Coturnix japonica: one gene and its partner. The protein of the gene in region 1 purifies or fractionates together with the protein of each later gene. This does not show direct contact. Links are inferred from orthologs where the notes say so. Each region holds a gene or a part of one and is shown on either strand. Other genes may lie near its edges. The genes, in order: NCAPD3 and SMC4.

The links.
Region 2: the proteins of NCAPD3 (region 1) and SMC4 purify together in Homo sapiens (co-immunoprecipitation; 3 studies listed by BioGRID and IntAct, with this or other methods). This does not show direct contact. The link is inferred for Coturnix japonica from reciprocal best matches to the Homo sapiens genes NCAPD3 and SMC4.

Annotation. Positions count from the first base shown.
Region 1 is NC_029539.1:2,123,836-2,135,290, forward strand, and holds part of NCAPD3 (condensin-2 complex subunit D3), read right to left. Parts: intron 11,111-11,455; coding exon 11,048-11,110; intron 10,881-11,047; coding exon 10,797-10,880; intron 8,723-10,796; coding exon 8,649-8,722; intron 7,739-8,648; coding exon 7,604-7,738; intron 6,947-7,603; coding exon 6,726-6,946; intron 5,294-6,725; coding exon 5,102-5,293; intron 4,781-5,101; coding exon 4,683-4,780; intron 4,554-4,682; coding exon 4,441-4,553; intron 4,017-4,440; coding exon 3,909-4,016; intron 3,744-3,908; coding exon 3,641-3,743; intron 3,547-3,640; coding exon 3,439-3,546; intron 2,457-3,438; coding exon 2,218-2,456; intron 1,540-2,217; coding exon 1,460-1,539; intron 618-1,459; coding exon 480-617; intron 180-479; coding exon 46-179; intron 1-45.
Region 2 is NC_029524.1:19,694,919-19,706,373, forward strand, and holds the start of SMC4 (structural maintenance of chromosomes protein 4), read right to left. Parts: upstream 10,067-11,455; 5' UTR 9,957-10,066; exon of another isoform or gene 9,923-9,956; intron 9,861-9,922; exon of another isoform or gene 9,760-9,860; intron 9,488-9,759; exon of another isoform or gene 9,126-9,487; intron 8,512-9,125; 5' UTR 8,456-8,511; coding exon 8,326-8,455; intron 7,213-8,325; coding exon 7,034-7,212; intron 6,428-7,033; coding exon 6,236-6,427; intron 4,590-6,235; coding exon 4,413-4,589; intron 1-4,412. UniProt on the Homo sapiens protein: Central component of the condensin complex, a complex required for conversion of interphase chromatin into mitotic-like condense chromosomes.

The DNA of each region.
Region 1 (11,455 bases):
TGTCTGCCAGATTAATTATCTTTTTTTCCTGAAGGTGGCCCCTACCCAGGACACTGTGGCTGATCTTTGTTGTAATGCTGAACCTCTGCTCGTCTGTAAAGTGGTCCAGTAGGAACTTGTAGATATACATCCTTTTTTCTTCGTTATCTTTTCCTTTCAGAGAGAAGAGCTTCTTCGCCCTGTAGTAGAGAAAGACATTTTACGTGGTTAAGTCACATTATGCCATCTCACAAAAATAGTAAGACTTGAAATCAACAAGGAATATCTGCATGTCACTTTCAAGACCCATCAGTGTGCCAGGATACCACACACTCCCACAAATTACATGCAGAAATTCTCCCACTTAATTTAACACCATCTCCTTGAGCTGTTTTCCCCCTACTGCATACATCAATATGAAGTACCACAAATGCTTTCTGTAACCAAAGTCTGCGTGGCCACCATTCAGGAGTAAGGAGGTAGAAACGTGCTCAACTGACCTCTCGCTCTGTGGGAACCTGTTGTACTTCTCATGCTTCTCGTAGCTATTGAAATGGAAGATGCACTCAATGAAGTGCTGGGAGAACATTAATGGATTCCTCTTCAGCAAGAGATGCACCAAGCAGAACTCTGCAAAACTAGAAAGGAAAGAGAAGTCACCCCTGAAACACAGCAGAGGGTCACAGGCAGTACAGGAGGAGTTCTCCACTCCTGAGTCTCCCTCAACACCCCCATTTAATACCTGCCCAGTTATATCTGGGCTTAAACAACATACTAGCTTATTGACCTTAAGCTCTGCAGTACTGCTCTCTTATTGCCATTGAAACAGAGGCAGAAATAAATTTAACTTGAATGCAGGCACAGCATTTTCATTATCTTTATGAGTGAAGCTCCTGAAACACAGCACTTTCTGCAAAAAGTTAATCACCAGAAGTCTGGCAGGAGCTGAAAGTCAATCTCAGACTTGAAGAAAGTATTTTTTATGTAGATACAGCCTCTGAATGCAGATGCAAAGAAAAAGGCTACCAATGAAATAGCAGCGTGTTCCACAGCTAGAATTCAAGGAACAAGATGCTGCAATGCCACCACCTACTGGAAAGATATTTTTGCATATTAAAAAAAGAAGAGCAGGCTTGAATATGCAACTTGTAAGCAATGATGGGTTGACAGCCCTGGGAAGACCAAACTTAAGTTTGGATGTTCCAGGCAGAAAGTTGTCCAAGTCTCATTGGCACCCAGCATCATCACAACCTTCCATCCTTGGAGGAAAATGCCTCTCATTTCCCCTAAAGCAAAGCAGCTTCAGACTTGGAAACACAAAAAAACTTCACGCATGTGTACTTATGATCAGTGTGAGCGATTCTCCTGCTATGTCAAAGTACTACAGAATGTGGCAGAAAGCTTAAAAAGGCCAAGCATAAAGAACAGAGTACATCTGTGCTCCTCAACACCTCCAGTATTTTACAGATGAGTATTTTACCTGGCAATATCTGGATTTGGATCCACCAAGACACTAATGAAACGGAAGAAGAGACAGTCCTTCCATTTCACAAACTCCTCCTAGAAGAAAAGGACAGATGATAAGTAAGGAACAAGGAAAAACCTCACATGAGGCTTCACAGAGCAGCCAGGGCAGTATCTGATGGAGCCTGCCAGAACATACATCGAAAAATAAACAAGCTATACAACTTCACCACTATGTACAGAAAATAAACCTCAAAAAGACAGTTCTAGGAGATGCTTGAAGCAGAATAAGCACACAGCATCCAGGTTCACCAATAAAAAAGCAGAATCAAGAAAAATCTGCTTTCCAGTGCCAAAGGCACAGATGCTCCTCAACGCTGTTGTGAGAGCCAAACACACTCCAAATCTGCTTTGTTTGGCTTCACGTGAACACCGGAGGGGCAAATATTGTCAGCCTCTCCACTTCCACAACTTTAAAACAATAAGCAGATGTGGAGGGAAAAGGTGCTGTGGTGCTTAGTACATTCATTCATATAGGAGCAAAATGGAAGGGGATTCACAGAAACCAAGATAAGAGAACCACTGAATAAAAATAATCTTGTTATCCAGCTGTGCTGAGCATCATCAATGTTTGCCCACCTTGAGAAATAGTAACAAAATGCATGTTTGAAGCCTTCATAAGTTAAGAAACATTACAGCTATGCTCCAGAATCAAGTTGTAAGCAATAAGCTCTCGGTCAGTGCTTAGTACAACAGAAGGGGACTTCTGTTTACCTGCAGAAGGTTGGTAATCATAATCAATGTCTGCTTCCGAATGAAGGGATATGGGTCCTTCAGGCACAAGGAAATGTTGGGGATGTATCTGTCCACCATGGTGGTGTAGCGGATACAAAGGTCACACATAACAATGACGACGTTATTGCGAACAGCCACGTCGTGTGACACCTCCAGCTCTCGAGCTAGAGCTGCAATGCACTTCTTTGCCAGATCCTCATGCTGCAAACACAGTTTACCTGTGAAATAGAGATGAGACTGTCAGCGCTGTGAATATATTCCTAACCACCACAGCTCTGAGCCCAGGATGAGCCAAGAGAAGAATCGGGTAGTAAACAGGTGAATAAACAAGAAACATATGCTGAAACTTGATGAGCAATCTGCACCACCTCTCAAAGAAATTATACTTCAAGGAGTTCTTCCAAACTCTTTTTAGACCTATACTGTGGGCCTCTATGCCAAACTCCCTCCTTCACAGTGAACTATTCCTGTGTACGGGGTATTATTCAAAGCAGCTAAAAAGAACAGCCCCAGCTGTCATAGGCATCACAGGGAGACACCCACCTCTAGGAACATTACTAAACCAACTGAAAATAAAATAGCCTGCATTCTAACATTACTTCTTCCTAACTGTTTCTCAGCTCGGTACAAGAAATATTAAGGTTCCCAAAGCAGTTAATGAAAGAATGATTCTATCTGCAACAGATATAAGATTTGCTCATATATACAGTGGGGCTACAATACCCAAAGTTTCACTTAGCACACTTGTTTATACTGGAGTTGCAGATTTGATCAGGGTTCTATCACAAAGAAGCCCAGTCATTCATACTAAGGAGAACAAGTAACTACGTACAGAAATTCTGCTCTACGCTGCACCGAAAGCACCAGGTTTTCTTCATCCTCTGTTGAGCACCCTACTACAAATTAGAAGATCACTCAGCTAGACAGCAACCAATTCTGAGTACAAGGACAGCATATGCCTGAAGAGTACTATATAGGAAAAATGCATCAACAGACTTGAAAAACAGTCTCATAGACTTCTATGGTTTGTGCAACTTGTTACCATGGATATTTGCATTGCTAAGAAGCGAAACAAAACACTGAGTGCTGCATCTATCTGTTAGAGCTGACGTGGCCTTTGAGTAGAACATGAAGCAGAGAGCAGACAGGAAGGGTGGGAATTGGATATAAAGGGCACTCTTGCTGCAGGACGATGCTTACCAAGAGTGATGAATGCATGAGCTCTGATCACAGGAGGCATGGCTGATCCTCTGAACTGGGACAGTGGCTGAGAAGCCGGTATTTCCTCATCATCAGGAGGATTAGACACTAAGAAAGAATGGGTCAGGAAAGAAAAAGTGCTTTTTGGGTAACAGCACTGTTGATAAAAGGAGAATTAAAGGCAGAAGGGAAAGAGCCTCACGTTGATCAGAAGCCAGAATGGACTGGATCAAAAGAAAGATGCGTTTCTCCACTTTGGCTGGACACAGCTGAGCAGCCTCACCCAAGAGGAAGAGGTGCCTCACCTATAGAAAGAAAAAGCAACGCTGCAGACTAAATCTGCAGCTCAGCCACAGCCTTAAGTCAGCAGGACTTTCCTGTGTAACCATTACTGCCATGAACTTAACAGCCCCCTCATTTGGAGAAAATTCACATCCTTTGCCCAGCCCACAAAAGGGAACCAAACTTACCAAGAGATCTTCTTGCAACTGCTCTGCTCCGTCCTCTTTGAGAACTATATTTGAAATATAACTTTCACAAGTGGATATTAAGTCTCCAAACACTTGGTTGAGCAGTTTCTGTTCCACAATGAAACAAAATTAATCAGGCACTTTATTAACATCATGGCTAAGTTCCATTTAGCATCTGCACACATAAATCCCCAATTTGAAAATCCTTATATGCATACAATGTGTTGCTAACTGTGTGCTTGGGCCCATTAGAGAGGCCTTGAAAATACATGCATTAGCACCAGCTCTGGTGTAAAATAGCCTGAGCTTATAGTGAAAGCTTATAGCTTCTAATGGACCAACCCTCAGAAATAGCTGATAGTGCAGGTCTCATTTAGGAATGCAGTAAGTCAACAGACTTTAGTGGCTGGAGCTGGATCCTCTGTGCTCAGTGAGACAATCAAGCAACAGACTGGAGACAGAAGCTGCCTTCAAGAGTCAGTCCGTATACACATGAAACAAACTATTTTAAAAGGAGTATTTTAAGTCGCACCTGTGCCTTTGGGTCACCTGCATACGCACAGCAGAGCTTCTGCAGTGACTCCACAGCTGGGCTAATCACCTCCAGGGGACACTGAAACTCCTTCAGCCAGTGCTTGATGTTATCTGAAAAGGAGATGACACACATAGCATGGGGATTTGGTCGGCCAAGCAACCACTCACAGAGAATAACCCTTAGCTAGGAGATAAAACCAAACTGTACTTTCTACTCTGCAGTTTCTCAGGGCCACTCACCAATCAGTCTCTCACAGCTGCTTTTAGGGAGGTGCTTTGCAACATGACTGACAACAGACAGTATATGTCCTGTAGAATCATTGCTCGTGTTCTGTTGCCTGGAAAACAGCAGAGCAGACAAGCTAAAATTTATGCTTCGGAAAACCACCAACCACAGCAGAAAAATCCACGCATCTTGGCTACGCTCTATCAAGGCAGACTCATCAAACCAAATGAAAACTCAAAAAGCTCAATGTAAGACTTGATGGCTGCACAAATCTGTGGGTTATTGCTTACTTCCTAGCTACAGAACGTCGTTGCCTGACTAAAGAATGGTGATCTAAGCAGCACTATGTCTATGGAAGGACAGATAGGGCTCACTTCCTCATCCTCACCTCCATCTCTTCCCAGTAGAATAGAGGAGGTCAAAGCACACATACCTGCTGACAGTGTACCAGGATTCGATGACCTTGGAATAATCCAGCTTGGGTGAAGAACTTGCCACCTTAGCAAGCAACATCCAAGCTGGTACAGCATGCTCTGTTTCCACGTGAGACATCACGTTATTGATGAAAGTAGAAGAGAATTTTTTCTGCCGGGACCAAATATGAAAAGCTTTGTTCATATAACAGCTACAAGGAAGAAAGAAAAGAAAGCATGATAAACAAGGAGCAAACAAAACTCCTGGGGTCGTGGAGACCACTAGCAAAATCCAACATCTGCCCAGAACATGCTGTGAAGAACAGGGGTGCTATGACTTCACCTGCCTTCTACCCAGAGTAGATAGGATTTCTGCTATGTGTTTTATTGTTGGTCACTCTTTCTGTTAGAGTTCAGATGGCTGCAGTGCTGATCAGTCCTGATGCACTACAGACCTGGAGTTAACGTGTCTGTCAGACAGAGGAACCTGAATCAGAACAAGCCCAGAAGATACTTCAACAACAACCAAAGATTTGTACCAAAGACAGTTTCAAAAAGACAATAGCAGTTTCTATTTAACATCCTTAATGGGACAGCACTGGTTGCATCCTTCTGTTTAACTCTAGCTACCCATTTCACATGGACAGATTTATTCTGAGATATATCAAGCTGCAAGGTACTTCGAGGTCACCAAGTAAAGGTGCCATGAATCTTCAAACTGTGTCATAAAACAGCCCAAATTAGAACACTGACAGTTTTACAGATTGCAAGGCAGCACAACCAGTATCTCATTTTCTATTTCTGAGCTATTATGCCCTGTTGACTAATAAACATACAGCCGGCTTTAATCAATGTTGCGTCCTTGTCATACTGTATTAGCCCATTTCTTCTGCTTCATCCCACAACATTCTGCAAAAGGCAGAATCATTCTATTTGTCATAAGACAAGTAACATATTGTACACCAGAAATAATAAGATCTTCTCCCTTCCTATAGCCTCTCTTACTTCTGTCATCACAACACCTCCATTTAACATTCATGCTGCTACCAGCGCATCAAGAACAGCAAGTGACATTCCTGTGTATGAACACCAGGGTTTGGAGAGACTGCACAGGTAACAAGAAGAGCAAATCAAAACACTCAACACAAAACAAAACTGTGCTCTTCTCACCAACTGCTGGTGTATATGTTTGACAGCTCCTCTGTCCTACGAACTGGCAGAGCAACACAGGCAGCTCACAGCATGACAGCTGCCATCTCTAGAGCAATGTGTGCTTTCATTGTCTGCTTTGAGCAGAGAGTTCAAATAGCTTAAAAAAACACCCAATACATTCAGTTTTTTGCCCCTGTGCAATAGGTGGTACATGCATTTCAACTGTGGCACTTATTGTTCTGTGGTCACACAGAGGATGGGAAAGCTGAGAACATAAGCCCATGCTTGTATCTTAGTCCTCCGGTCACTAAGCCATTTCCTACCGTAAAGGAAAAGCTGCATGTTTTAATCCTATTAGAAGTTTAATAAAATAATCTGGATTTTGTCCACGAATGCCAAGATAATAAAGGCAACAAAGAGATCCAGTGCACTGGACAAAGGAGTGTTTTGGAAACACCAGAAGAGCCCACAATGAAGGACAGCCACATTTACCTCAGCTCCTGGCTTTCCGAAGTCAGCAGCGTAAGGAGATCCCATGCCAGCACCTGCTTCTTGTCTTCCCTCCTGAATTTACTGTAATGCTTTATGTGCTGCAACAAAACCTGATCAAGGCATTCCAAGGCCTTTTCTTGAACAGAAGTTTCAGAGTCCATTACAACAGGCACAACTCCAGTCAACCAAGCCTTGTGCACCAGGACATCATCGTGCTGGACCTGAGAGAAACACACTGTATTAGAAACATCTCCTTTAGTTATGATGTGGTCCTACAAGCACAGATAAGACCAACGAAAGCCTAGAAACCTTGAGATTCATTTGTTAACTTGTAAAATAAGTTACAATTAGCTCACTGCTCAACTGACAGCAGAAAGTACAGTACTCTGACCAAACTACCTGGGCTAAAGCAATGCAATAGTTTGTTTTGAAACTCTATAAATAATTATGAGAGTATTGCAATAAAACTGTAATGCAGATGATTTAAGACTAAAACAAGAGGGTTTTGATTAATACAAACCTTATGCTCCATGACTAAGTTACCAAACCTTTGAGAATAAATAGAAGAGAAGGAAAAACATTACAGTGGCATCATGAACATGCTGTATCACAGCAAAATGATTCAGGTTCTCAAATTTCAGAAGGACAGCAACATAAACATCCCTTCCATGACACATAAAACCAACAGGCAGGGAAAAGAAAAGCATTTCCAGCAGTTGAAAGCATCCCACATAAATGGCAAGTATGTGCAAGTCACTGATTGCAAGTCAAGAGATGATTAAAACAAATAAAGAGCACAGTCATAAGTGATTTGCTGTGCCCTCATCCTCTTAAACCAACATTTCAGCCATAAGAATTGGTGTTGTTCATTTCCTCACCTCGAGGAGTTCTGTCACAGACTGCAAGGCCTGTTTCCGCACAGAGACTGCGGGGTCCCGGCAACGGTCCTGAAGAGTGGACAAATCTTCTGCAGTGCAAGGGATTGCTTTGTGCTTCAGGATGTTTGTAAAAACCTGCAGGTCAAAAAACAGCATGAGTTCATCGGGAATACGAGCCAGGATGCATGGGGAAATTAATCAGAAATAGATCAATCCCTAATTTAAGTCAACAGGGAATAGAATGTATCGCAATGAAAGGGAAACATAACATTAGTAATTTCTAAGTACCGGGCAGAACTTGATACAGAATGCTAAGAGAACTTCTCAGTCCTTCAGATTTTATAAGAGAATTCTGCATTGAGTCAATGCCACAACTCCCCCTTGAAGCCAATGTTTCTCTTGTTATGACCTACATCTTTCACCTGCCAATAAGAGGGAAAAGAATTGAAAACCTCACAACAAAACAGTCAGAAACCCTTAACCTGAGGTGTTCTCATCCTGATTTATCCTGGAGGGGAAGAACTAAGGGAAAGAGGACTAACAGGGAGAAAGGCAGTCAACAACAGATCCGTATCCTATAAAACAGTGAAATTCACATTGAAGAAGATACCTTTCAAAGTTCATGACTTAATTAATTAAAATGAAGCAAGCAGAAAAGCAGTGCATCCCTCAAAATGATGCCAGATATAGCCCAAACTCTTGCTAACAAGGTAGAAACAAAGCACCTCTTATGCCCCAGTTTGTAAGGAAGTCGCTTAAGTTAAATACCTATTGACATTTGGAAAGAGGCTCTTTCTCTAAATGATGGAATAAGTGAATGCCAGCAAAAGAGTACTAGAATGTTATTTCTTCCTTGCATTATTTACTTATCAAGAACTAGCAAAAATGACCTTTTTAAGGACTGAATGCACTCGGTGGGAATAGCAAGAAGCTACAGCTGGGCAAACTTACATACAGTTCACTGCAGTACTACAGCTCAATTATTTGTTCCAATGGCATTCTGTGTAATCATGCAGAACAAGAAATCATGCAAAGAACACCATACCTGGAGAGCAGATTTCCTCACAGTGGTTTTCTCATCTCCAGCTCTCAGCCTCAGCAGGGCCATGATTTCTTTTCCTATCCAAACCCAGGATAAAAAGAAGTTATAACACCCACCCAGACCTCCTCTGTATGCTTTGCAGAGCTCAGTTTGTTGCCCAAGGTTTTCAGGAGCAAGAGATGAGGGCTGAAAGCACAACAACAACTAACTGAAAGAATGTGGGTTCTCCTTTGCAGCTGCCATTCTGACAAGGGGAAGAAAAACCCAAAGTTCTTCTATCTTGAAAATAAATCATAGGACATAACACAAAATCTGGTGATATACCAAATCATTTCATACACAGAGCAAAAAGGAATAATCTGTAACTCCCAGTTCTTTTATTTCTGTATATAAAAGGTATCAGGCTGCCTTCAAAGCTGGAAATTAAGTTTTCCTAAGGACATTTTGAACTTGCAAATACAGAAACCTGTTACTTTGAGAGATTCATCTGGAGATCTACCATGTTTCCATTAAGAGAAACAATTAGTCATTGGGAACCAATAAATATAGGGTCTAAAAGTAGGCTTTTTTTAATCAAATGAAGCTAAGGGATTTCAATCTGCATGACTAGTGCTTTCTTAGTAGGCAGGTAACTGCAACTGAGTCTTTCTCCTGAGAATAGCTTGACAGAAAAAGCACACAACCTTTTCTTTGCAAGACACTGCCAAGAGAACAGTCATGCTGCTATTGCAAAGGTAACCAAATCTGCTAAAGTGATCAACCTTGGCCAACTGTCATGGATTTCTATGCATAGTGGCATAGGGAAAAAAACAAACAAGCCCTGAGATCTAAATGGCTGAGAACTAGCAAGAGAAACTAGCAAGGGAATAGAGTGTTTATAGGCTGACAGGCACTGCATACTCTATAGAGTATACTTCACCCTGCAGATTATCCCTACCAGTCTTATCTTTGCCCTTGTGCATTTTGCAAGTTCTGAATATCCTCAGCAAAGATTTATTTTGCTTCTAAAAGACAAGCTGTTTGGTCTTCATAGAAGTGCAAAATTAGCACAGGCAGAAGCCAAACAAGTGTGTGCCAGACAGCTTTGCTAATGCACCTTGACTGGCTCTGAGAAGCCTGTTTTTTAGCTATCCTCTTGAGCCTCAGACAGCCCTTTTTGATCCAATCCTTTGCTTAATTTGTTTTGCCAAGTGCCAAGCGGCTCAGCTGGTGTATCAGATAACAAAACCAGGCATCCTCTGCCACACAGAGCCTGCAACTGAACAGGGAATACACAATACCTTCAGTGGCCTGAGGATATTCTATCTTAGAGAGCAGATTAATGAAATTTATCAGCAAAATGTTTTGAAAGAAAGCTTTCAATAGAGAAGATAGGAGCCTGGTTCATGAAGATATGGAGGGATCCCACATGAAGAGCAGCATGAGAAGTGTAACAAAGACACAGAGGCAGGATGCGAGCTAAGCAGTAAATTGAATTGTCAGCAGTTCAAGAGAGGTGAATAGCAACAACTGAGAGCGAAGACACAGACAGAGGCCTAAATGTGAGGACTCCACATTGAAGAGGAAGAGATTCAATGAAATATCACAGCCACGAAAGCCAACTTTTGTGCTGATTTCATGCCATTAAGGAATCAGATCTAGCACACTGACGTTGCAAATCAGTCCATTTAACCTCCCACTTTGCTTTTAACATCAGCCAATACCTGGTGCTGCTGAGAATTAAATGCTTCCCTGCATAACAGTGCCAGTCAAAGGTGCTGTGTTTTATGCAGCAAAAATACATCCATTCTTTGTGCACTGAAGCAAGAGGTTTAATTACCCTTAAATCTATGGAGCTACAAGTACTGCATCCCACATCAATTAGCATCCTTTTGGGAAAGTATAAATTATCTGCTTTGCAATGAGTATTGCTACCACATTAATACAAATGAACACCAGCATTTCACAATTAAATGTATTTCCCAAATTTAAGTGGAAATGGCATTTCCATACAGCAAGCACTTCCACCCCTTCACCACCTGTGTTTTTTAACAGCTCTCCAGAAAGATCTCTCTGCTCTTTGAGAAATGGTCAGCGAACAAGATTCAGAAAACATAATTGTAATCGAAGTTCTGAAGAGCTATCTGAAAGGCTGCTGTAACTGTGACATACCATTCACCATGGCAGCACTGCTGCTGTTTGTCAGCTCAATCGTTTTGAAGCTTGGTAAGGTCTTCAGCGGATGGTTGGACGTAGCTGGAAGAAAAGTTAAAAGCTTAAGAACTGAGCATACATTCACTCCACGTGATTCACCATTAAATAGAGAGCTGCACACATGTCCCACGTTTTATGGATACACATATTTTTAGAAAGCAGCACGCCAAGAAAAGCCTGAGACTTATCATAAGAGAATGACTCCGCACCTTCTTCACTGAGCATCAAACTGGCACTGTTTGTGTTTGCATCCAAGGCTGCACGGTCATAGCCTGCCAAAAAGAAATTAAAACAGAAATTAAATGAATCGCTCCCATTCAGCACGTTCTGTCACTCTGATTTCTAGTTTGGCTTCTTTTTTTTTCTCCTAAGGCAAGTGATCCAACCACACAATGATGTGTGCACGCTTCTCAACTGTGCCATCTGGCCTCTACCAAACCCGAGGGAGTTCAGAATGCCAATCACGAAGATACGAATTTAGCAGAAGCAAAAGGCAACTCAGGATTTAATCAACCCTCAGACAAAAATTAACTTTTTTTTATTGTACAATTTCAGCTTCTCATACATCCGTTAAAGGTATCTCATGGAGTAATCTATTTAGAGCATGTACGCAAAAT
Region 2 (11,455 bases), on another chromosome or scaffold:
GCTGTTCACACATCTGTCTAATTTTAGAAGCTTTCTTAAGGACATTCTTGTATTTAATACAAGAATACAAATTGAGTGCAAGTCTAGAGTCGCTTTGGAATCAACATCAGTTACCGGGAATCCAACCTACAGTGTTTGACTGTTATAAGATTCTTGCCATGTTCTACCTCAAACTTAACCCAGCACTCAGTTACATTGGATAAGTGCATTTTACATCCTCTTCCCATATTTTCCTATTTTTCTGGAAAAAAAAAAACAAAAACAAAAAACATTGCTTATGACGCTGCACTGGAATTTGTAAAATAAAAATCACATTAATTGCCAAGAAATTCTGACAGCAAAGAATTCGCTTTGAAATCGCATGTACTGAAGTCTTAGCATGTCTCTTGCAGCTCCATATTCACTTCAGTATCAAGTATTTTAACCAAGGAAGTGATTCTGTACTCTGAATCAAATGTAAAGCTTCCACTTTTACATACTATTTTATTCAAATGACACTTTTAGTTGATTACACTGGTTCTAATTCTTCCTACCTCTTCAGCTCAGCTGCCCTTGAAATTTCTAGAACAAAACTCTCTTCACCACTTTTGGCAGCATTGATCTCCATTTATAAATCCCAGTAGAGCTTTTTTAGCTCGTGCTCTATTTGGATGCTCCAGCTCAGATGTTGGTGTGCCTCATTAGGAGAGCAGCCCTCAACCATCGGGAACTTCTGGCTTATCTCAAAGCAAGAAGAAAATCTGCTCCCCCCCACTTCCTTCCCTGCACACTGAAGGAGTGACTCCTATGTTTCCACAAAGCAGCAGGAGAAAACCTTGACTAAATTTCCTCTCCTGCAGCATAATCTTGCCACAAGACAAGACCGATCTGTGCATTAAATGCTGCTGTCCCAATCAGTTTAAAAATAAAAAAAAATCATACATGAAATCACTGCAGCTATTCACACTTGCATCAGATTACATGAGAAATTTTTAATTGTCTGTCAAATACATTTAAATAACACTAATCAGCACAAGAAAAAATAGTTTGAAAAAACAGGTTCAGGTTGATTTCAGTTCATAAAAGTCTGCTTCTATTTAGTAGAAAACAAATTCAGGTTTTCTAATTCTTAGTATTGTTTCTGCAATGTTCATCCATATGGGCACTGCTTGCAAAATTCCATTTTCTGTTTACAAAGTTGATATTAACTGAACTCCTCTTACCTTGAAAGATAACAAAGCCAATTTCAGCAGGTGGTAGCAGTTGCTGTCTGGTTTGTTTCGCTCCCCAGACCTCCTGCCCCATGGGTGTCCTTAACTGACATCCCCTCAATCTCTCCCCATTAGTTTAATAATTCCTTAGGGACAACCAGCTACAAGAGAGAGGCTGGGATTTCTTTCTGGCCTCGAGGTTGGCCTCTTCAGAGGACTCACTATTGAGCAACAGCAAACACACTTACCTTCAGAGCCCTGCTCAACCTGGCTGGGCAAACCTACCCAAGCTTTCTGTGTATAGACATTGATGTTCCAAATATTAAAAAAAAAAAAAAAAAAAAAAGCTAAATTAATAATTTTATTTGTTCTTCTTTACAGATAAACGAGTTACTCAAGTGTGGAAGGCAGGAACCGATAGCAGTAAGATGACAGATATCACAGATATTAGCACAATGCTCAGCATACTTAAAAAACAAAGATGCATTTTTTTTTCCTGTTGCAGTTTCAGGCTGTGGCAGCCTCATTAGCAGTGCACCACACAGTTTTCTGTTCCCTAAGTGCTAAAAAGCATATAGCAATTTATTAAAAACAAAATACACAGCAATACAACTTAAGCATTGCAGAAGTGACAAACTCCTCCTGTTAATTGTTGGCAGCAACACACAGTAACCAAACCCATTCCTTTAAAACAAGATTTTTTTCCAATTAACTAATTCAGGCACAGAATTTCTAACATTTCTAGAACTGCCCAATATCATTGTTTTCCCACAGGCATTTCTGGTGCTGTTACTCAGCAAAATCAACTGGTTGATTCCAAGATTCTCAGGATGGCATCACAAGTACCTGCTCCACTCTCTACTCAACTCGCAGAACAAATGGTTCTGGCCCAAGCTTTCAGAGTGGCACCCAGATGCACCCAGTGAGCCACGTGAGAGACTGCAGAGCAAGGTGGAGAAAAGAAAGAAAAGCAAAAAGAAAGCAGCCTTCTGAAATGCAAGTATTTGCTATTGAATAATGCTAAGTGTGGCAGCAGGGCACTAACCAAGTATCTCAGAGTGCTACTTATAGGACTTGTTCTCTTACAGCATTTCCTTTAGTGTTAGAGAATGCTTTCTCACAGACTGAAAACAGCATTTGATAACAAATGTATGTTAATTACACCCAAACGAAAGTCAAAAACCAAAGAGGTGCGATTTATTTTCAAAGTGAAATTATTTGAGCTCAATATGCTCAAAAAATACAACTTGAGAGAAGCAAAAGTGAAATAGAACTGTCACTTATTGCTCAGACTGGAAATAATGTAATTTGAAAAGGAGTAGGGAAAAGGGGCAATCCCTGTGATAGCAGCAGGCAGCCTTGGCTTCCTGGTATGGCCTTGTTTACTTCTATCATTTTTACTACTTGGGCTTCGATGTTTTTCTGTCACTGTGCAGAAATAGTCACATTTTCCAGATGGAAATTACTAGTTTTCCATTGCCTGATGAATAGAATTCACTTAAAAAATAGATTATTTAATAATAATAAAAATCACACAGCCACATGCTCAAGGAGTCACACCAAATAAACAGAAAATCTCTCTGGAGTTTCCTTACAGTTCATTGTAACACATTATCCACAAAGTTCAGAGCAAAGAAAGGATAAAAAAAATGGTGGGAAGCATCACTTTGTGTCTTAACATCACTCGTATCAGCCCTGATTTCCCATTATACAGATGAAAAGCATGAAACTCGAGCTTTTAGGAACAAGTATGTCCTCCCCATGGGAAACAATTAATAGAAGAAGAAAACAAACCACATTTGGGGAGAAAAGTAAAAACTAAAACAGCCATTTAGCAGCAGTCCCTGTGAAACGCTGCCTTCCCCTCCCAGAGCAGAAGGGCACTGCAGCACTCAGCTTGGGATGCTTCTGCACCATCATTTCTACCATATTTGACTGCAGTTTTTCTCTTTTTAACAATGTTCCTAAAATGATTTTTCTGAATAACAACTTTATTATAACTAATATATATTACCAATAGTTTTATTGGAGATACTTCTCACTTGAAAACCAAAAAACACAAGAAGAAAGTGCTGAATGGAATAATTAATTGGCACAAATACTTCAAAAACAGATATATCCTCTTTTTGTGGGTGTAACTGTAAGAAGCAGACTTGAGGAAGTGAAGCAAACACAGCTACCTATCTCAAATATTTGCCTTTTTGTGTTAGAGGGGAACTGGAAGCTCCTTTGACAAAAACAGTCTTAAAATCATCTCTGTTGCAAACTGTCAGATCTCAGGAGGCTTCCACTGCTCACTCATTTTCTAGGCCAAAATCCTTCAGAACAGATTTGTGACATTCTTGTAATAGCAGTGAAATAATTATGGGTAATTGCAGATGTGTGTACCCCATGGACCCTTTAAGTGTGTCCATCAAGTACTTTAACTCAGTTCACATCTAAAGTGACTGGCTGGCACGAGTAAAATCCTCCATTTTTATTTAAGCACTAGAAAAGTGTGTTTGCCTTCAGCCTGTCTGTGTTTTACACAGCCAGCACACACCAGCAAGCTTTAGAACTTTAAACCCCAATGTGAGAAGAAATGATATCATATTCACAGACTCTATTATTTTTATAGCATGAGCTGTAAAAACTGCAGCTTTTTAATATGCACCTTGAATTGGCTACAAACCTGCTGTGCTTTGAGTCCCCTGCAGTTGTTAAACGAGTGTAAATGAGAAGTAAATGGGTTTTTTCTTGCCTTCAATTTTATACAGTTATTTTTAATATACATACTTCTGCAGTAAAACCACGTCTATAGATGAGAACTGTAGATAACTTAATAGTAGTATCATTAAGTTAATATTGATGCACCTTTATCTAAAGTATAAACAAGTTGCTGAATCTCTGCCACGCTTAAGCAGCACAATAATATTGGGGTTTAAGGTTTATTTTACTACACCAATATTTACGTGCTGCTAGGGCGGAACAAGTATCACAACTCTTCTATTCATCCACATGTCAGGAGCACTGATTCATTAACAGAAAAATTTATATTAGTGTCTTCAACTGTTTATCTTCCTTAAATTTCTAAAGCAGCAAATAATGATTCGCATCTTCACTACAGCATGCAAACCATGATGTGCTGCTAGAGTACTTTAAGGCCTCACAACTAAACAGCATTTTGGTAACTACACCTGGAAATACAGCTTTAATAAAAACAGGTTTTATTCACACACCAACCTGTAAAATCAAGAATCTGTTATGGTCCAGGTCGATTCCGTGACTTCGCAGAAGAATACCAACATCTTTGAATGTTGACTTCTTTCCATTGATGTGGTATACTGAAGAATTATCTCTAAAGGCAGTTCTAGATACACAAAAATTGCTGTTAGGAATGACTTCATAATCATCTCCTTCCTGTTATGAGGAAAAACAAAGCCAGAAATACAATTAGTATCTCGTAGGTTCACCTCACATTTCACCATTTTACCAGTTAAGGTTTTAAATCAGGATCCACTTAAATGATGTGCACCTCAAAAAAAAAAAATTCAGCTCTAGACCAAAAAAAAAGAAAAAGCCTAAATCTGCATGATCCTCATGTGCTGCATCCCTCATCTCTAATACCAGCTTTTGCTTTAAAAATACTTAATTTCTTCTCTTTACCAGGGCTGCACATCACAAAAGACCTACTTCAGCTTTAAAGTGGCTGTTGTATCCTGCCCTTTCAATTTTAGATCAGGAAGCTTTGAATGATTTGCTACTGTCTGCAATTAAGCTCCCTCTTTATAGTGCTAGAAAGCTGCTTTTTGCTGAGTAGTTCTAAAAAGAAACTGCAGGAGATAAAAAAGCAAAATATTAAAGATGTGACAAACATGAGGTCATCAGCTTCAAAACATCACTTCGACTTCACTAAAAAGCAGCAACTGCAGTAAAGCTGGGACTCATTGTAAGCAGTTAGAGCCGAGCCCTGCTCCTTGTAAAGCCTTCAGCTGGCCTCTGCTTTGCCAGGCCCATCCCAGAGCACCATCTGACCAGGTAACACTCACAGGGTTTTTACATCACAAATGCAGCTTCTAGGTGCTCATACAGAGAACAGCAGAAAAAGAAAACTAAATAATCCCTGAATGTGGCTGACACAGACAGAAGCAAAAAGCACAGGTCTGTGCAGATCGAGTCAAAGAAAATTGACCTAAAGCAGGTCTGTAACTGACTGTCCCCTCATTAGCACAGGTTCTGATGCTTTGGTGTACACCTTTCCCACCATACTGACTAACCTGACATTCAGTGAGGCACTTCAGCCAGACTAAATGCTCACAGAAATTCTATTTAAATAAAGTAAAATCAATTTCTAGTACTGGAATGGCAATAAGTCAACAGCACAGCCCAGACGTTTGTACCCATACATGAAATGACAAGCAACACAATTTTATTGCATTTTTTTTTCCAGCGTTGTCAGCACTTTCTATTTCATTCAAACACGATATCAGCCAGAGGGTGTAAAACCCAGAAATTCTATTGAAAACCTGCTTTTGAATTGCAGGCCCATTTATTGTCCATTAAGTGTTCCAGATTGGTTTTATATTTAATGAATTTTTTAAAATAGCTTCTAATTGGTTTGGAAGCTTTTACTCCAATAGTTTTTACACCTGAATCCATATGCTCATATTATAAATGCACACATATATAACACATCCGAATGTAGCCTCAGAAGTGATTCGAGGTGCTGTTAATTTCAGAAATAAGCTTTATTTACTTGAGGGCAAAGAACCAACAAATGTACAACGACTTCTGAAAATGACAGTTAGGTGAGTGTGAGCAGCTCCAAAACACTGCACAGCAGACACTGCTCTCACAGAGCAGCCCACGAGCCCCTGCTCATATTGTAAGAGCTGCACTACTGAGAGGAGCATTTTTAAGCTAATTAACTTCAAATTGGTGCTTTACATCCCAAGGGTAAACCTTGCCACCACGCCTTCCCCAGCTCAAACTAATCGAATATTAAGTTGTCAAACGCTTGAATAAAGCAAGCGCCGCTCTGCAGAGCAGGATACATGGATACATACCTTGTCAATGATCTTTTGGAAGTGGATTTCCACAGAACAGCTCTGGATGTCCATATGTTCCTCAGATTTATGGATCAACACAGACAGTTTTTTGGATCTGATTTTCTGTGCTCGATACCCAAACACAAAAAGCATCGCATCAATGACATTGGATTTCCCACTGCCATTGGGCCCAATAATGCATGAAAAACGCTGCAGAACAGAAGGAAAAAAGGTGTCGGGTGGAGGGAAATAGATCCTGGGCTGTGCACATCACCCACTGCATTTGTACATAGTTCCAAACAGAATTACTTCTAGTGCAGGAAACTGCAGCTCATTTGGTAGCTTAATCTTCACAACCAAAGGCAGAGCAGCACAGCTTATTTAAGAGAACAACACCTCCACTCAGCTCAGCTTTCTAAATCATAACTTGTGAACTCAAAGCGATACTGCTCTTAGCAAGCAAGTTCGCAAGGAAAGTTTCATGATTAGCCACGTAAATCCCTTGTGGGCACTAAAAACATTCTCATTCTTCAAACGTGCTCCTCCAAATTCCCCAGCAAACGAAATCAAGGCAGCAATGTCCTTTTTCACAGGCTTTCTGACAAATTACAATTGTACACAATCAAGAATTTGCACTTTGCTGTTTTCCTACTGCTCAGCAACTAAAAGGAAGGACATCGCCACCAAAACAATTCTCAGACCTCAATATTGCTCAGCTTTTCTGAGGTGAGGTTATGTGAAACTACAGGAAGGGCCACCAGCGCACAGCAAAGCCTTACCTGCACTTAGAGAGCGCTTAAGGGATAAGAAAATTACCTTATGAAAAGGTCCCAGAGTTTGCTGCCCTGCATAGGATTTGAAGTTCTGGTTTACAATGTGAGTTATCATGAGACGAGGAGCACCAGCTTCATTGGTCATTGCTGGAGGAGGGGGAGGAGGGATGCTACCCAAAATCTCTTCTAAACTCCGATTATCAGACTCCTCGTTTGAGACTTCTAAAAACCATCCAAAATAAGCAGAAAGAAAATTAAGGCCATAAGCACTCAATGACCAAACACCTTTTACAGTGCTCCATTTCAAAAGCAGACATCATTTCCATAATAACCAAAGCTACACTTCTGCAGTTATTAAAAGGAGTTAAGTGGAATTAAAATCCTTCTTTCCACGAACTGAATCTTTAAAAAAGAGACACTTAAGACGTCCCATCGATTCACCAGTGGGTTTGTTCTTTCATTATGCAATCCTTATTCTAACACACTTTAATAGGCACTCCGCAATTACAATAGCTACAGCCGTCACAATAAGGCTACAAATCTGAAACAGGCAAAGTCTTCCTAATTAATAAGTGCAAAGCCACATTTCAAGCGTGCTCACAAGTCACTCCGCAAGATTTGGGGCTCGCTGCACAATGCTCTAAAGCTGTAATGACAGCACGACTGCTCTGCAAAGACAGGAAGTTTGTTACGAAAACAAACTGGCCCCCTGGATATCTGCTCGTTACAAGCAAAGCAGCTTTTCAACAGTTACCAGCAGCTTTTCCCTCACACAGACAGGAGGTTTTGACACCAATTTCAGTTTATCAATCCATTTGTCAAATATCTGTGCTGTGAGCTTTCAGTCGTTCCTGTCTCGTTACCCTAAAAGACACACGCTGCTCTTTTTGCAGATACTCTCAGCAAAAACTCAACCCCAGAACCACAAGACAATGCTCTGCTTCATGAAAAGGAAAGTCCAATCGTTTTAAGAGTTAAACAAATAAACGTGACATTTATTCCATTCCAAGAAATCTCAGAGCATTGGCTGCGTCTAAGTGTGAAAAATCCTGGCTCTTGTACCACCACCCGGTACAGATCAGGGACATGAAATAGGCTTTATTAGAAGAAAATTCACTAATTGCTTTTGCACTTACACTCGGTCACAAGTCCCAGCGCTAACTCTTTGCAAACCACTTTAAAAGCAGTTTGAACACGTCAGGAGTCAGAGCTTTCAACCTTCCTTTCTAGACGAGAGCAGAGCGAGTCCAATGTGGAATAGTCGGCAGCTCCAGCTGAGCTCTGCTGCTCTGTGCACCAGGTTTAAGGCATCAGGAGCACAGTGCTCCCACCTACCTTCAGCTGCTCCTTCCCCAGGATGCCCGTCGTCTTGTTTGTCCACTTGCATGTCACCGTTGTGCTCCTCTACGTGCTGTCTGCCTTTCTGCTGTGCTGCTGTGGAGTTTTTGGTGCTCCTGCTCGCCATGATCTCGGCTGCTCCCCGGCAATTCCAAGCAATCGAACTACCGAAGGGATCTCACTCTAACATAAACAAGAAAACCCCACCAACTCTGCATTAAACTCCAGTCCCCTACAGAATACACCTACGAGTCCAACTAACGCAGAAACGAGAGACCAGATGCGTTTTGAAGACAAAAAAAACCCCCAAAGCTGAAACAAAAACTACGGCTGAAAGTAATAAACGCATCGCCCCAAAAAACAACGGACCCGCCCTGATCTGCAGACACAGCCGTGCACCTCCTGACGCCGATGGGGTTTGCACACTCACAAAGTGGCCCATGTTGGAAGGGACCTCAATGATCACAAAGCTCCAACCCCCCCGGCACACACAGAGCCACCAGCTCCCTATTGGGGAGAGCAGCGGTGACACCAGGGGCCAAAGAGTTAACGACGATGGCAGGAGTCAAGCGGGGAGCCCCATGTCCGCGCTCTGTCCATGCAGCGTTCAGTCCCGACACACGCTTTGCTCCCAGCTCTCCATGCTGAGCGTACGGACACACAAACAAAAAGACCTGCGTAGTTCAGAGCGTTTCACCCTCCGACAGCTCCCCTCAATAATACGCTCCTTTGGTGAGACGCAGCGCAGCCCCGACTGCCGGCAATCGGCACCTAACAGCAGAGCAACGCGAAAATACCTTCATCCCGTGCTGCTGTTAAAGCTATTGAGCAGGGACGGAGCGCACGTTAGTCCACACGTTGATCCAACACGGCTCCCACCGAACGGCAAAGGGAAAGAGAGCGGAGGGAGGGAAACTCCAAAGAGTTTAAATCGCAGCAAGTGGGGAAGGCGGTTTGTGGAGCAACAGACACGAGAAAGTTGACTTCAAGGCAGATAAAACAAAACTGACGTGGTTAGAAAGTCATCTCACAATTGGTGCCAATCATTTGACGTTTGCAGACCTACCCCCAGCCCACACTCTCATGAGAGTCCTTCATTTGGGATAATGGGGGAGGGGAGGAAAACGAGAAAGAGAACTAAGAGAACTAAGAGAACTAAGAGAACTCGTTTAGAAGCGCTCGCAGCCCGTGCTGCCGTTACGGACCGTCCCACAGGGCTGTGCCGGGGCAGCCGCAGCCTGTCCCGGTACCGGGCCGTATTTTAGCGCAGCACAGCGCGGCTCATGCCCGGCATCGCGGGGAGGGGGAGAGGCAGCGGCGTGCAGGAAGCCGCCCTTATCGCAACCCCTCGGCAGCGATAACCGATGTCAGCGAGAAAATCTCCCTCTGCCCGCTCCCCCCCTCACCCCCCGCCGGGTACCCGTTCCGTACGGTTCGGCTCTCGCCCTGCGAGGGTCAGAGCTGCGGGCGGAGCTCACAGAGCGGGCGCGGCGAGAGCAGCCCGGGAACGGCCCGGCCACACGGACAGCGGGACCGGGAAGGAGCGGCCGCCGCCTCGCGCTGCTTCAGGGCGGGGAGAGAAGGGAACAACGCGGCTCCACGCGGCGCCCCCCGCCCCGACCGCTCACCTCTGGCACGGGGTGAAGCTCCGCTCCGCTCTGCTCCGTTCTGCTCCTCGTGCCGCCCGCCCGTCCCGCCGTATGGGGTAAGTCCCGGCCGCCCCGTGCCGAAGCTCCGCGCTCAATGCGGACGGGCGGCTCGGAGCCCCGCGGGCGGCGGTGGGCACGGCTCACACGGCTCGTACCGCTCACACCGCTCACACCGCGGGTTCTACACTCGAAAATGGCGCCCAAACGGCGAAATCGAACCGAAATTCGTTAGAAAGGCGCGGGGCAGGATGGGGCGGCGCGGGGCGGGGCGGGAGCGGGTTTGAAAGGAGGAAAAGCCGCGCCGGGCGCCATCTTGTCGGCCGTTAGAGCGGCGGGGAGTGAGGGGAGGATGGAGCGGGGATAGAGCGGCTGTAACGCGAGTTAACGCTGAGCGCGGGGCCGTGCGGGGATGATGGAGGGACGGGCTGCGGGTCGGCAGCGACTGCGGGAAGGGATTCATCCCTTCGGTACAGAACTAGGTCAGGGGGCGGCGCTTGGGCGCCCAGGGGGACGGCACGACAGAGAGCTCCGCCAAAAATACAAAACAAAAAAAGGAAAACAAAAAGTCCACGAAAAACATTTAAAAAGTGTTTGAACGCGTGTATAAATAAAGTGAAAACGGGGCTCGCTTTGAAATGAGCGCTCGTTAACGGGCGGTGCGGTGACGCGATGTCACACGGCGCTGCCTGCGGGGGGGGGGGGCGCTTCTCGCGGGACGTGGCCATAGAGACGGCAAAGGAGACACGGCCCCGCACCGAGCTGTGTGAGCTATAAGGGCTGTACGAGGTGTATGAGCTGTACGAGCCGCCCCGCCGCAGGTAAAGGCAGAGCTGGGCAGGGGGCGGCCGCGGGCGGAGGGCCCGGAGGTGGGAGGGGCGGCGCTGGGCGGGCGGATGCCGAGGGCGGCGGGCACGGCCGGACGGAGCGCGGCGGGGGACGGTCCGTGGGCTGAGAGCCACGGCGGGGCGGAGGGGTGAGGGGTGCTGTGCTGTGCTGGGTGCAGGAGAACGAGGCAGGTGGGAGCCGTGCACACAGTTGGGTCTGGGACGGGGCTGGAAGGCCCCTCTGATGTGTCTGGGTGGGGAGGATCGCAGCACAGGTTCAGGGAATAAGAAAGGACATTCCAACATGAGAAAAGGATTGAAACATAAATAGAACTGTTGCACATTTTAATGGATGTAACGTAGGGGTAAAATTAACTCTTATCCCTTAAGCATCCTTTTTGCGTGTCTTAAATTCCTCGTAGTAACTGCTTGACCCATCGTTGTTGTTATGGTGGAAAACATTCCAGAGGTTCCGAGGCTCACATCGTGCATCACTCAGTGCATCACTGCTCTCAGTGCCCCGTGGGCTCCCACCCTTTTCCTCCTCCCTCCTTTCCACCCTGAGGGCTGGGGGTGCTCACCCAGCTCCTTGGATGAGGCCGGGGCTGTGGAACCTCCCCAGTTTCCCCACGGAATTACTGTGTTGCAGTGAAG